Drosophila melanogaster: one gene and its partner. Changing the gene in region 2 together with the main gene of any one other region gives a genetic interaction. Each region holds a gene or a part of one and is shown on either strand. Other genes may lie near its edges.

Region 1 (4,295 bases), on a different chromosome or scaffold from region 2:
GATTTTTCTTGACTAATTACAAATAATTTTTAAAATGACAGAATAACTTGAAAACTAAAAGAATAACTAATAATAATAATTCAACTAGAAAATATAAAGAAAAAAAAACAATTAAGCAGAAATGTCCAAGTTACCAAAAGCATCACTTAGTTTGAAGCAGGTAAGCAGGTTTAAATCATTTTTATGGTTTTCCAAATATATTAATAAAACTAACAATAATTGAATGAATTGATTACATTGTAGTTTATGCTGCGCCAGGAAGTACTGAAGCTCTACCGGGAAATATTTCGAACGATTCGTCAGGTTCCCGACAAAAACAGCCAGCTGGAGCTAAAATCCTGGGCACGGCATGACTTCCAGACGAATCGCCATCAAAGTGACGAGGTGGCCATCAAGATGCTCCTTCAGCACGGCAGACGCAGCCTCACAGAACTAAGGACCAGCCTCCAACTGAGCGGGGTGAGCGAGGGCAAATAGGATCAGTCTTGAACATAAATCTTAGCTTAATTTGATTTTATTTTTGAGCTCGACAACCGTACGAAAATAAATACGAGTTAAGACTAAGGACTATGACAAAAAGCTATCGAATCTTTGAGGTGCTACAATTCGCTGTGTTTTTGTGTGTTTCGTGAAGGTGAAATAGCAGTCTAGCGTCTTTGCAGGGAGTTGAACTCCCAGGATCCATTTCAGTTTTCCATTTCAGTTCTTAAAGCAGGGGTCGCAGAAAACTCAACCAGGCCACCTTAAGCAGGGCCAGTGCAAAGAGAAGGGAACCCACGCTGGTGATTATCAACGAGATGATATCTCTCTTGGCATGCTGATCCACTCTGCCCACCAAGAAGCTGTGTATCACGGTGCTGGTAATGTGGGCGCCATCGAAACCAAAGCAGGGAATGGCATTGATCAACGCCAATCCTATGCTGAAGACCACGTTATACTTGAGGAGCAGCAGCCAGGCATCCGGCCAGGCTGCCTTTAATAAGCTATATCTCGGCACAAAGGCGGATACCTCCACAGTTCGAGTGACATCCCATGGATGGCCCACATAGATCACCGGCGGCAGCTTCTCTCCGCGAAAATTCTGTCGCTTGAACGTCATTATGGCAGTGATATTTCGTATAAGCGGTCGTAGGCAGAATCCCTCGTTGCAAACTCCGGACGAGCAGTGCTCGGAGACCTCCTCCAAAGTGCGGCGCACATTGAGACATACATGCTGCGGCAGCTCCACCGGCACATCTCCATTTGCGTCCTCCACCACCTCGAAGCAGCTTACGTTCGGATTTAGTTCATCACAGCACTGTAGCTGACCATCAATGCTATGATGTGAGATGGCGCTGCTTTCGTCGTTAAGCTGCACGAAGTCCGCACTCACACAGTAGCCCGGCTTGAGCTTCAGAGAGTTCTGCAGGCATGTCACCCAACTCTCCTCGCTGTTTACTGGGCAGCCGTTTACTTGGGTTATTTGATTGTCCACTTGCAAGCCGCGCTCTCCCCTCAGCGGGGATTTCCTTGTTAGTTCAGTGACCACTACGTGTTGGTTGTAAGCGTACAAAGGTGACATAGTGATTCCCACCGTTGAGATTAAGAGATAGCACACGCCAGCGAACACAAAATTATGCCAGATTCCAGCGCACAGAACACGTAGCTTGCGGAACCAACGTAGACTGTTTAAGTGGTCGTGGGAGAGCTCCGTGTATGCTAACGGCAGGCAGAAGATGAACTGAAATATTAATATTTACCTAATTAGTAAGCGTATTAGGTTGTAAAGTACGCTATATCATTCTAACCTTTATTCCAAACCCGGTGACAGGCACATCCTCCATCACAGCGGCCAGGGCGTGTCCCATCTCGTGCACCACCAAGCAGAGCACAAGGGTTGTGATGTAGTATCCGATCTCCTCCAACGGCAAGTTGACGCCGGGCAGTAGAATTTCCAGCTGCACAGGGACTCCAACGGGCGAGGATACAGACGAAGAGCTGTCTTGTTCACCACTGCTGAAGATAGTGGCAATGAGCAGGATCAGACCGATCGGGAGCAGAGAAAAGGTGACCAGGACTCCTACATTAAAGCTGGTGATCATTACTCTCCGGGTGCAGCTGTTACCGGCAGATCCCCAGCGTAGGAGGGTCCTGTTAAAGGCACTCGTGTGCCAGTGGAGGCTCATGAAATTTATACTCAGCCCGGTGTTCTTGAGGAAGGCATCGTACGGGTAGTGCATGCAACTCTAAGGGATTACATTAAGTATCTGGACGTACTTTGGCTGGATATACTACACCTTGAAGAAGCGGTCGAAAAAGTAAAGAACGCCATAAAGCGATGCCAGTACTATGAAGAACACGAAGGGATCCATGGCTGGTGAGGTCTCAAGATGTCATTGGTTTGTTGGGATTAGGATGGTGATGCGGATTCTACAGTTGGGGGTCCTCCGGTTGCTGGACGTCACTTGCGAATGCTAGTAGTCCCTACCGGACGGGATTCCTTCCCGAAATCTTACTCCTCTGGTCCCGACTCCTTATACCAGCAATGCTGTGTAGTCCAGACCAGAAATCAGCATTAATCACGTCTGGGAATCTTGTGCGCAAATTAACCTGCGTAAAAAATCGAAATACCAAAAGCTAATCGCAATCGATTGCAGAACTTATCGATGGCCGCTTTATCAATAATACCGATAAGCAAGCTTATTTGGGCGCGAAAGTTTTGAACATTTTCAACTATTCAACGTCAAACAAAGAAAACTGTTGAACAACTCAAAAACAACAATTAAAATTTTTTTATGAAAATGATTTGCTTTCAATATAAAAAAATTCAAAATCCATTGTGTTAAGTGACTTAAAATACATCAAACACATGAGCGAACAGGAATTCTCATATAAGAGACTTTTGCCGACTTGCAGGCTGATCGTCTCCATTATGGCCTGCGTATCCTGTATATCGGGCGTGGCTGCCGGCTATCTTTTCATGACCAGTTTATCAGGTGTCTCTGAAGCGGTAAAGATTGTGTGGACCACCGGATCGGCTCTCTATGCATTATCCTCGCTCCTGTTGATTATTGCAGTTTGGAAGGTTAACCTGAAGCAAAATTAATTGAGGAAATATTCTTAAGAATCCTGTGATTTTGCAGTTCATTAAATGGCTGGCCTATCCATACATGTGCATGCTGCTCATGGCCATTGCCGTCTACACGATGATCCTGCAGTGGCTACTCAAGAACCTACCGGCTGCCGTTTTCTCATCTGTGGCCATCAGCTTTATATTTCTTGGAGTGGCGTTGAACATGACCAAAAGCCTGGAAGAACTACGCACTTCTCTATAGAGCAATGCAAAGTGTTCTCGTTTAGTTTTGGATTTATATTATAAATTTGCCGTGCAGTAATCAAGAGCAACGAATACACCTACTTTGATTAAAATTGAAAAATTATAGGTATATGAAAATCTAGCATGAGAAATTGTAAAGTTACATTTGTTAAATTTGTGTGACTTTAATTCGTAAGGCAATTCGTAATTCATTCATCAGCTGTTTTCAGAAATAAAAGTAGGTGGTTCTGGCAACAGGCGGCCAAAAGAACCTAGCAAAACAAAACGGATGAAAACCAATGGAAAGGAAGAGAGGACCTCTTACTCTTGTTTTTCCTTTTTCCATGCCGAAACTCACCACCACCAAGTTCACCTTAACTGAGTTGGGTTTTCAATGGACCTCCAGAGGACATGAGTATCATCAGTTTAGTCGTGAGCTTGAGCAGCAGCAGAACAGTCGCATCCGCCAAAAAGGGCAACAAACGAAGAGTACTCACGAAAAATAAAAAGGCTTTTGCAAAGGGTTTTCCCAATCAGAGAAAGTGTTCAATAGCTTCAGGCGTATTTTTAACCAATTTAACTCACTGGAAGGATCCAATTCGTTCGATTGTGATTGAGTAAGCTAAGAACAAAGGACTTCAGCTGGAATCTCGCCCCATATCGATTTGTTCCAAAAACTGCATATTCGCCAGCGAGTGAGTGAGAGAGTGCGCTTGTGCCGAAAACGGATACGGAAGGGGGCGACAAGGAAGCGGAAGCGGAAACAGCTGCTGCATAAACAATAGTAACAGGGAATACTGTGTGTCACATCAACGCATCATGACGCCAGAGCAGCAAGGATATTGCCCCTAGGAAAACCCATACAAGTTCCTCAAGGAAGCCCTCAAGAAAAAGCGAACGAAAATCGCAATCGATTCGGAGAACAAACCATCAAGACGAACCCGCAAAGGATTCAGTGCCAAAGGAGCCGTTCCGGCAGAAGCAGCAGTAGCAAGAGAGT
Region 2 (7,416 bases):
CAAACGGAAAATGTAATTTATGCAGAAAGCCGGAGAAACAGAAGCACAGAGAGTATGAGAACAGTCAGAAGAAGAAATAGAAAAATCGGACCAAATCTACAACAACAGCTTGTTGGATGACTCAATATTGCAGTGAAATAAAGGCTCTTTTGTATCAAGGAAAATAGGAAATGATTAATACAGGAATATTTCCAAGTTGCAAGACAGTTGGTAAATAACAGAGTCATAATCACAGCGTTCGGTAATATATTTAGTTTAACATTAGGTTAAACTAATTTTAGTTATTTTATATTTAGTTTAACATTAGGTTAAACTAATTTATTGAATAAATAAAGTCTGTATATTTGGATTTGAAGCATATCCATATATTACCGAGAATAATAAAATTATGCTGCATCATACATACAATCGGATTTATAAAGATTTTGATAAGCTAAGGTGAAGTAGAAATATAAAAAATAGGATTTAGTAGTGAAATAGTCCTCTTAAGATACTTTTCCTGATGACCGTTGGTTGAATGTTTTCAGTTTAATTTAAATAATAGGCATTTGATATAAATAAGCTTCGTCTATATTGAAAACAATACACCTACACTTAAGGCAACCAAATTTGCAGTTAGTATTTCCAATTGGCGACCGTAAAGGTAAACAAAAATGTAAACTGTTGCAGACAGCAAATGCGGTAAATCGCAAAAATCGTAAATAAATCCTAAGATTGTGCCAAAATAAAACCGTTTTAAAGGTTATTCATAGTAGCAAGTGCAAGTTTGTCGGTCGAAAATGGCAACCCTGGCGAGACAGAGCGAACAAGTGTGAGCAAGAGCATCAGAGAGAGGGCAGAGGAGATCAGTTGTTGTGATAATGCAACGGGTGAAGAAAACAAATGCAAAAAGTTTCTGCGTGTGAGCGCGAAAGTGCGTGAGCGGCGGTCCAAACAAAAACAAAAGCGCGAAGCAAAAATGGTTTTCTTTTTGTTTCAGTTTATGTTCCTATTGTTGTTGGTTGGTAGGTTTTTTTGCTTTTCCAACGACGTGACAAGTGCAAAGAGCGCCAAATTGTACATTTTTATGCATGGGCCGCCAGTGCATTGTGAAACTTTTCCGACTTTGCCTTTATGGCTGTGCATTTGTTTTATCACTGCAGCACTTTTGCCATTGCGATCGTGTGGGTGCCGCTACTTTGTGTGTGTGCATTTGTGTCTGCGTTTTCGAAAGAGCAATTCAGAACGCAATTAACACTGACGGCGCCCATGCTGGTTATCAATTAAATCACATATTCACTTTGTACCATTTTACTAAAAACGAATAAAGAACCTCATCATGTTGCTCTTTCCAAACGGTTATTTCGAATTTACCGCTTCTCTGGCTCCGCGATTCGTCCGCGTTTCCCGTTTTCCGTCGCGACTACCTACCCGATTTTGAATATGTGATGTAGCAGTGTGGCCAGTGCGTTGTGCCAATTTACCGGAACTTTTTGTCTTCAACATTCCTTGGTATTTTTAAGTAATTCTAGCGCGGTCACACGGCTCTGGCGCTCTCTTAATTATTCTCTTGAATGTAGGTAGCGGTGACATCCACCACGCTCAGCGAGGACAACCGCATATTTTAAATTACACTTATACATGTTGAATTTATTTCCTTACTCTGCGTGTCAGAATCAGCGTTGATATTTTATGGCAGTTTTATAAAATACATCATAAACTATTAAATATATATATTTCTATACAGGCATTGTAAGTAATACAGCTGTTTCTTGATGCCAGGGAGTCAAGACCTGAACCAGTTCCTTAGGCCCGAACTACTGCTCGTCATCCCTGAAGAACAAAGTTTACTGCAATCGAAAGCAATTGTTTATTAAGCTGCAAATATACTCGTGAAAAAAATCAAAACAACCATGAACAACAAGTGTTGCAACTATTACTAACTAGTCGCTAGTTTAAAGCAAAGTGCGTTGACATTAACCAGTTATGGAAAAACAAAAGCACACGTGAACTAAGAAAACAGATAGAAGGTGGTAAAGGTGCGTTTCTTTTTCTGCTAATAATGTAGATAGTGTCTAATAGATTAATTTTCGCGGAAATCAGATCGGGAAACCAGTGGAGCCTGGGAAAATGCCCTGTTGGAGCTCCCAAAGGCCAAGTGGCGTCACTAAAAACATCGTATGATCCGGTCGAGCCCTCTGATTGGTTGAAAGCGCTTACGCATGCTTTCCCGGTCGCGTATGTGTGTGTGCAGTGCACAGTGGGCCAAAAGCGAAGTAAAAGCTTAGACCGTTTAAAAATATTCGCCTCTATTGCAATTTGCATTAGTCTAGCAAAACTTGATATAGCCAAAATGATCTCAAGATATTATATTTTGTTCCTATTTTAACTACGAGCAAACAACAAACAAACAAAAACAAGTTAACACATATGCCATTTTCAGGTCCGACTGTGATTCACTTTAGGTTTGAGTACAATTAAAAGATTTATTTTAACTTTGTTACGTATATTACAAATTTAATTATAAAAACCCCTTTTAATCTGTTATTAAAGCTGCAAGTGGCCACTGTGGAAAAAGGGTAATTAAATGAATTAATGTGATTATAAACATATTAATATTTGTTTTTTCCGGCACCAACATACTTGTCCCACTGTTGTTATTGCGCCGCATAGAACTTTAATAAACAATCCTCAAATGTACAAACATACATACATAAATATGCACATACGTGGGCCCGCCAGTATTTAATTACGAACCGTTTTTGTCCCTTTCATCAGCAGCATTCGCAATGGACACGACACTGATGAACTTAATAGACGCTCCGCTGGACGAGTCCATGGATTTGTTCAAAGCGGAGGATGTCTTCGAACCGTTCGACGCCGACCTGCACTCGGACATGCTGGACATCATCCTCAACGACATGGACCTGGCGCCGACGCAGATGTACAACATGCTGCTGGACGAGCCTCGAACGCATACCCAGCAGACGCAGTCCGTGGATCAGCAGCCGCAATCCGTCGAGCAACAGCCGCACGTGAAAAGCGAGCACTCTTCGCCAGTGCACATCAAGGAGGAACTGCATCAGCAGCAACAACAGTCGCCGCTTCTCGTCTACAAACCAGATCCCCTCATAGCCACAAGCTACAATTGTCCCCAGCAACAGCCGACGGGCCTTTTGAAGGCCGCCCAACCAACAGCCACCATACATCACATGGACGCCCAGCGGATGCCGCCGAACACGGCGGTGTATCCCCCATCTCTGGGCAGTAGCTTTGTCTACCAGTCCATGTCCCCGCCCACGTCGCCGGTGGAGTCTGCGAACCAGAATGTCAATGTCATGCAGCCCGTTGCTGCAACTCCTGCTCCCGCTTCTGCTCCTTTGCCCCAGCAGTCGTATCCGCAACCCTTCATTACGTACAACTCTAAGGCCGGAATGACTTCCGATGAAGCCATGTACTTCCTCTTGCAGCCCACGGTAGCCAGTCCAACCCCATCTCCACCTGTGGCTCCACCACCGACAAGCACAGGTAGTCGGGCCAGCAAGGTGCGAGTGGCACCACTGGCTCCGTCACCTGCCGCTATGGAAGTCCAGGGCAAGGTACCTATCAACCGGGTTCAACCCAAGGTGAAGGAAGTAAAGCGCTCGGCCCACAACGCCATCGAGCGGCGCTATCGCACCTCAATCAACGACAAGATTAACGAGTTGAAGAACTTGGTAGTGGGAGAGCAGGCCAAGCTGAACAAGTCCGCAGTGTTGCGGAAATCCATAGACAAGATTCGGGATCTGCAACGCCAGAATCACGATCTGAAGGCAGAGTTGCAGCGCCTGCAGAGGGAGCTAATGGCACGCGACGGCTCCAAGGTGAAGGATTTACTTCAGCTGGGCACTCGGCCTGGTAGAGCATCCAAGAAGCGCCGCGAGAGCTCGCAGACCTTTACCACGGATGCCGGACTGACGCCGCCACGCAGCGATGAATCGGATCCTTCGCTCTCGCCCATGCACTCGGACATCTCGTTGCCGCCATCACCCTATGGTGGATCCACCGCCAGCTGTAGCAGTGGCAGCAGCAGCAGCAATGAAGAACCACTGGTGGTGCCCAGCTCTATGCGCGGCATGGCCACCCACTCTCGCCTCGGACTCTGCATGTTTATGTTCGCCATCCTGGCCGTCAATCCCTTCAAGACCTTTCTCCAGCGCGGCCACTATGACAGTAATGACGATCTTGGCGACATGAGCGGTCAAAGACGCATTCTCTCTTACGACGTGGAAGGTAGCTAGCCTAGCATCCAGATGTTGTTAAATATTGCTAATGGGTTTCTCCTTGATTTAGGTGAAGGTTTTGCTGTCTGGCAGCAGAGTTCCTGGATATGGCTATTGAACTTCACACTGATGCTTGGATGCTTGGTGAAATTGCTGGTTTACGGTGATCCGCAGCTGGACGCGCAAACGGACGCCTACTGCCAGCACAGGCAGCGGGCTGACTTCTATTTTAGCCAAGGACAGTCGTCTCAGGCCTACGCCGGTTACCTCAACTGTCTGCATATGTTTGGATTAAGTCTACCGGCGTCGCGCTTGGAGTGTTACTTGCAGACCACGTGGCAGTTCCTTCGTTTTCTTTTCCATCGCCTCTGGCTGGGTCGGGTGCTGTCACGGCGGTCCGGTGGGCTGTTTAGCAACGCCGCCAGCAGGAAACAGGCGCTGGCATCTGCACGCGAACTGGCCCTGCTCTTCAACCGACTGAATCAATTGCAACTGACTGGAAATGGAAGCCGCGGTGACATGAACGGCATTATGATGGCACTATTCGCAAGCAACATGGCTGAAGTGGCGCACAATCTACTGACACCGCGCGAGACCATCTGCATCCACGTAATGACAGCGTTGCGAATGAAGCGCAGTGCCCCAAAATGGTTGCAACAGCTCTTCGCCCGATACTACATGAGCCGGGCTCGTCAAGAGTGCGGTCTCACTAGGGCCACCGAGCAAACGCAGGAGCTACGTTGGGCATTCACAGCCTATGGATATCGCTACTGCGCCACGCACGTCTTCACGTACGATCTGAGCGACTCCGGCGAGCAGGATGGATTCTTCACACGTCTTAGGAATCCATGTGATCCCGCTGCCCACGTCATTAAGGTAAGTTGGACTGAATTTCTAGTGTATCGCACACAATTCAAAACTAATTGTTTCTTTTCCAATAATCAGCAATATCGAGAGCATTTGCTGTTTAAAGCCATTCAGTGTCTGGTAGGAGCGGGCCACAAATCGGGAGGCCTGCCCACATCTTCTGTCAGCGGAGAGGCGGAACAGTTGCAGCAACAGCAGCACAGCGGCACCATTGTCAGCAATGTTCTTAAGTACACGTCCCTCCTTAAGGACACTCTCTGGGCTGATGAGGATGAGCGGGATACAAACGTGGTGTGGTGGGCCGATGTTTTGGAGACCGCAGTGCACTGGCTCCTTGGTGAAGACACGCTGGCCGAGCAATTGTACGGCAGGATCAAGCAAATGCCCACGCAGCTGCAACAGTGCGGCGAAAACGATCATCTGCCCAAGGCGCTGCATGCTGTGCTGCGAGCTAAGATGATCTTACTAAAGTGAGTAAAACTAGAACAACTAATGAAAAGAACAAAACTAATCATCGCACACCTTTGCAGAAACAATGGCAACGCACTGGACAAAAGTCTCAAGCAATTGGTAAACATCCTCTGCGATGAGTCGAGTGTGGAGCTCCAAGAGTGCTTGACTGTCAACCGGATCACCGACGCCAAGGGTATAAAGCTGGTAAGAATGTGTGCACCCCGAACAATCAGTTTTTGGCGACTGAGTGCCACCAGACTCTTCCTCTGGAGATGACACGAAGGTGCATTGTAGTCGCATTGTCTGTCCCAATTGCTTCAGGCAATACAACTTCAGTGCAAGCTCTGTGCATTTCACATACAACGCCGAATGTCTCTGGCAAAAGTCGCCAAGTTTTAAGAGCGCACTAATCATTATTTCTTCTATGCAGCTTTTCCAGTTGCTTACCTGCGATTGGCTGCTCGAAACTAGGACTGCTCTGTGGGAACTGGAACACATGAATATGGAGGACGATGGCTTCTACCAAGTGCCAGGTGAAGTGCTCGAGAAGTTCCAGACCGATTTGAACTCGTTGCGCAACATTGTGGAGAATATACCGGTATATGCAAATCCTTACCCTTCCAATATGTCTGTTCCGTAACCTGAGCTTGTGTAAACTTTTGCCATTACAGAACGCCCAATCGCGCATATATTTGTACGAGGCAGTTTGTCGCCTGATGGCTGGAGCCTCACCGTGTCCAACGCAACAGCTCTTGGACAGGAGTCTGCGATCACGCAACGCCCACTCGTCCATCTTCTGCGGCAGCAAGGATCGGCGGCAGCAGAACTTCGTGGGCGGAGAGCGGGAACGGGCTTCGGCCATGTACGTGGCCTGCAAGTATCTCCCGCCTGCGCTGCTCAGCTCCCCGGGTGAACGTGCTGGCATGTTAGCCGAGGCGGCCAAGACCCTGGAGAAGGTGGGCGACAAGCGAAAGCTCAAGGAGTGCTACCAGCTGATGAAGTCGCTGGGCAACGGCATTGGCAGCGTGAAGGCTTAGGATAGTAGTGAAGTACATAATAAGTGGCACGAACGTGGTGTGGATTTTCAGCAAATGAATACCCGTTTGCTATTCAAAAGAATTACAAATGCCTAGGTCTTTATAATTACGCTATTCCTCTGTTTTCCACGCCCGGTTATGCTTAGATTGTAATTTTAAAATTATTTAATATGGACATTTTATTTGTTTATTATTTACCGTACTTGTTAAACGTATTTATAACAATAAATATTTTAACAGATTTACAAGGCCTTTTATTGGTTACCGGTGCATGCTCCTAATTTGTTAAATATGTACATAATTCATGGAAAACGTATTAGTAGCGTATGCAATCTTTTTCCTTATATAAAATGAAATATTCTTCCATTCGCGTCGGTCATTTTGCGTCGGCGGAGTTTTGTTAGTCGGGTGCATCACAGGGTGAGCTACCAAGCACTATATATATATATACAAAAACAGAATGTATATGTATAATAATAATACACACAGAAAATAATATAAATTCCTCAGGCACACTTCAAGGGAAAAAATCTGTGAAATGGAAAACTTGCTGGTAGAGTCATATTACTTTAGCACTGTGCTTAGTTTTTTTGGTATGTTGTCCTTTTGTTCAGCATGGACAACCTTTTAAAAAATATAGTTAGCTCAGCAGTTCTTCGCGGACTCGCATGCCACTTGTATTTTTTGGCACCCGGCGTTTGATTTTCGTCTGGAAACGGTTCATCCAATGCCATTAATAATCATGGACTGGCACAGATGGGCCAATCGTTCCGATCAAGATGTTTATGATTACAAAATAAAGGAGGATGAGTTCGAGG

Evidence for each region. A genetic interaction does not mean that the proteins touch.
Region 1: of SREBP (region 2) and S2P, changing one enhances a phenotype caused by changing the other (phenotypic enhancement), as found in Drosophila melanogaster (one study listed by BioGRID).

Annotation. Positions count from the first base shown.
Region 1 is NT_033778.4:11,841,603-11,845,897, forward strand, and holds S2P (site-2 protease), read right to left. Parts: upstream 2,639-4,295; 5' UTR 2,352-2,638; coding exon 2,277-2,351; intron 2,226-2,276; coding exon 1,788-2,225; intron 1,721-1,787; coding exon 707-1,720; 3' UTR 501-706; downstream 1-500. Other genes in the region: CG34229 (uncharacterized protein), read left to right, coding at 122-160, 244-477; CG43190 (uncharacterized protein), read left to right, coding at 2,912-3,064, 3,123-3,314.
Region 2 is NT_037436.4:19,792,142-19,799,557, forward strand, and holds SREBP (sterol regulatory element binding protein), read left to right. Parts: upstream 1-1,793; 5' UTR 1,794-2,018; intron 2,019-2,082; exon of another isoform or gene 2,083-2,184; intron 2,185-2,422; 5' UTR 2,423-2,558; intron 2,559-2,757; exon of another isoform or gene 2,758-2,760; 5' UTR 2,761-2,768; coding exon 2,769-4,251; intron 4,252-4,311; coding exon 4,312-5,117; intron 5,118-5,186; coding exon 5,187-5,578; intron 5,579-5,638; coding exon 5,639-5,765; intron 5,766-5,819; exon of another isoform or gene 5,820-5,918; intron 5,919-5,991; coding exon 5,992-6,159; intron 6,160-6,232; coding exon 6,233-6,598; 3' UTR 6,599-6,838; downstream 6,839-7,416. Other genes in the region: Ir76a (ionotropic receptor 76a), read left to right, coding at 7,137-7,191, 7,243-7,416.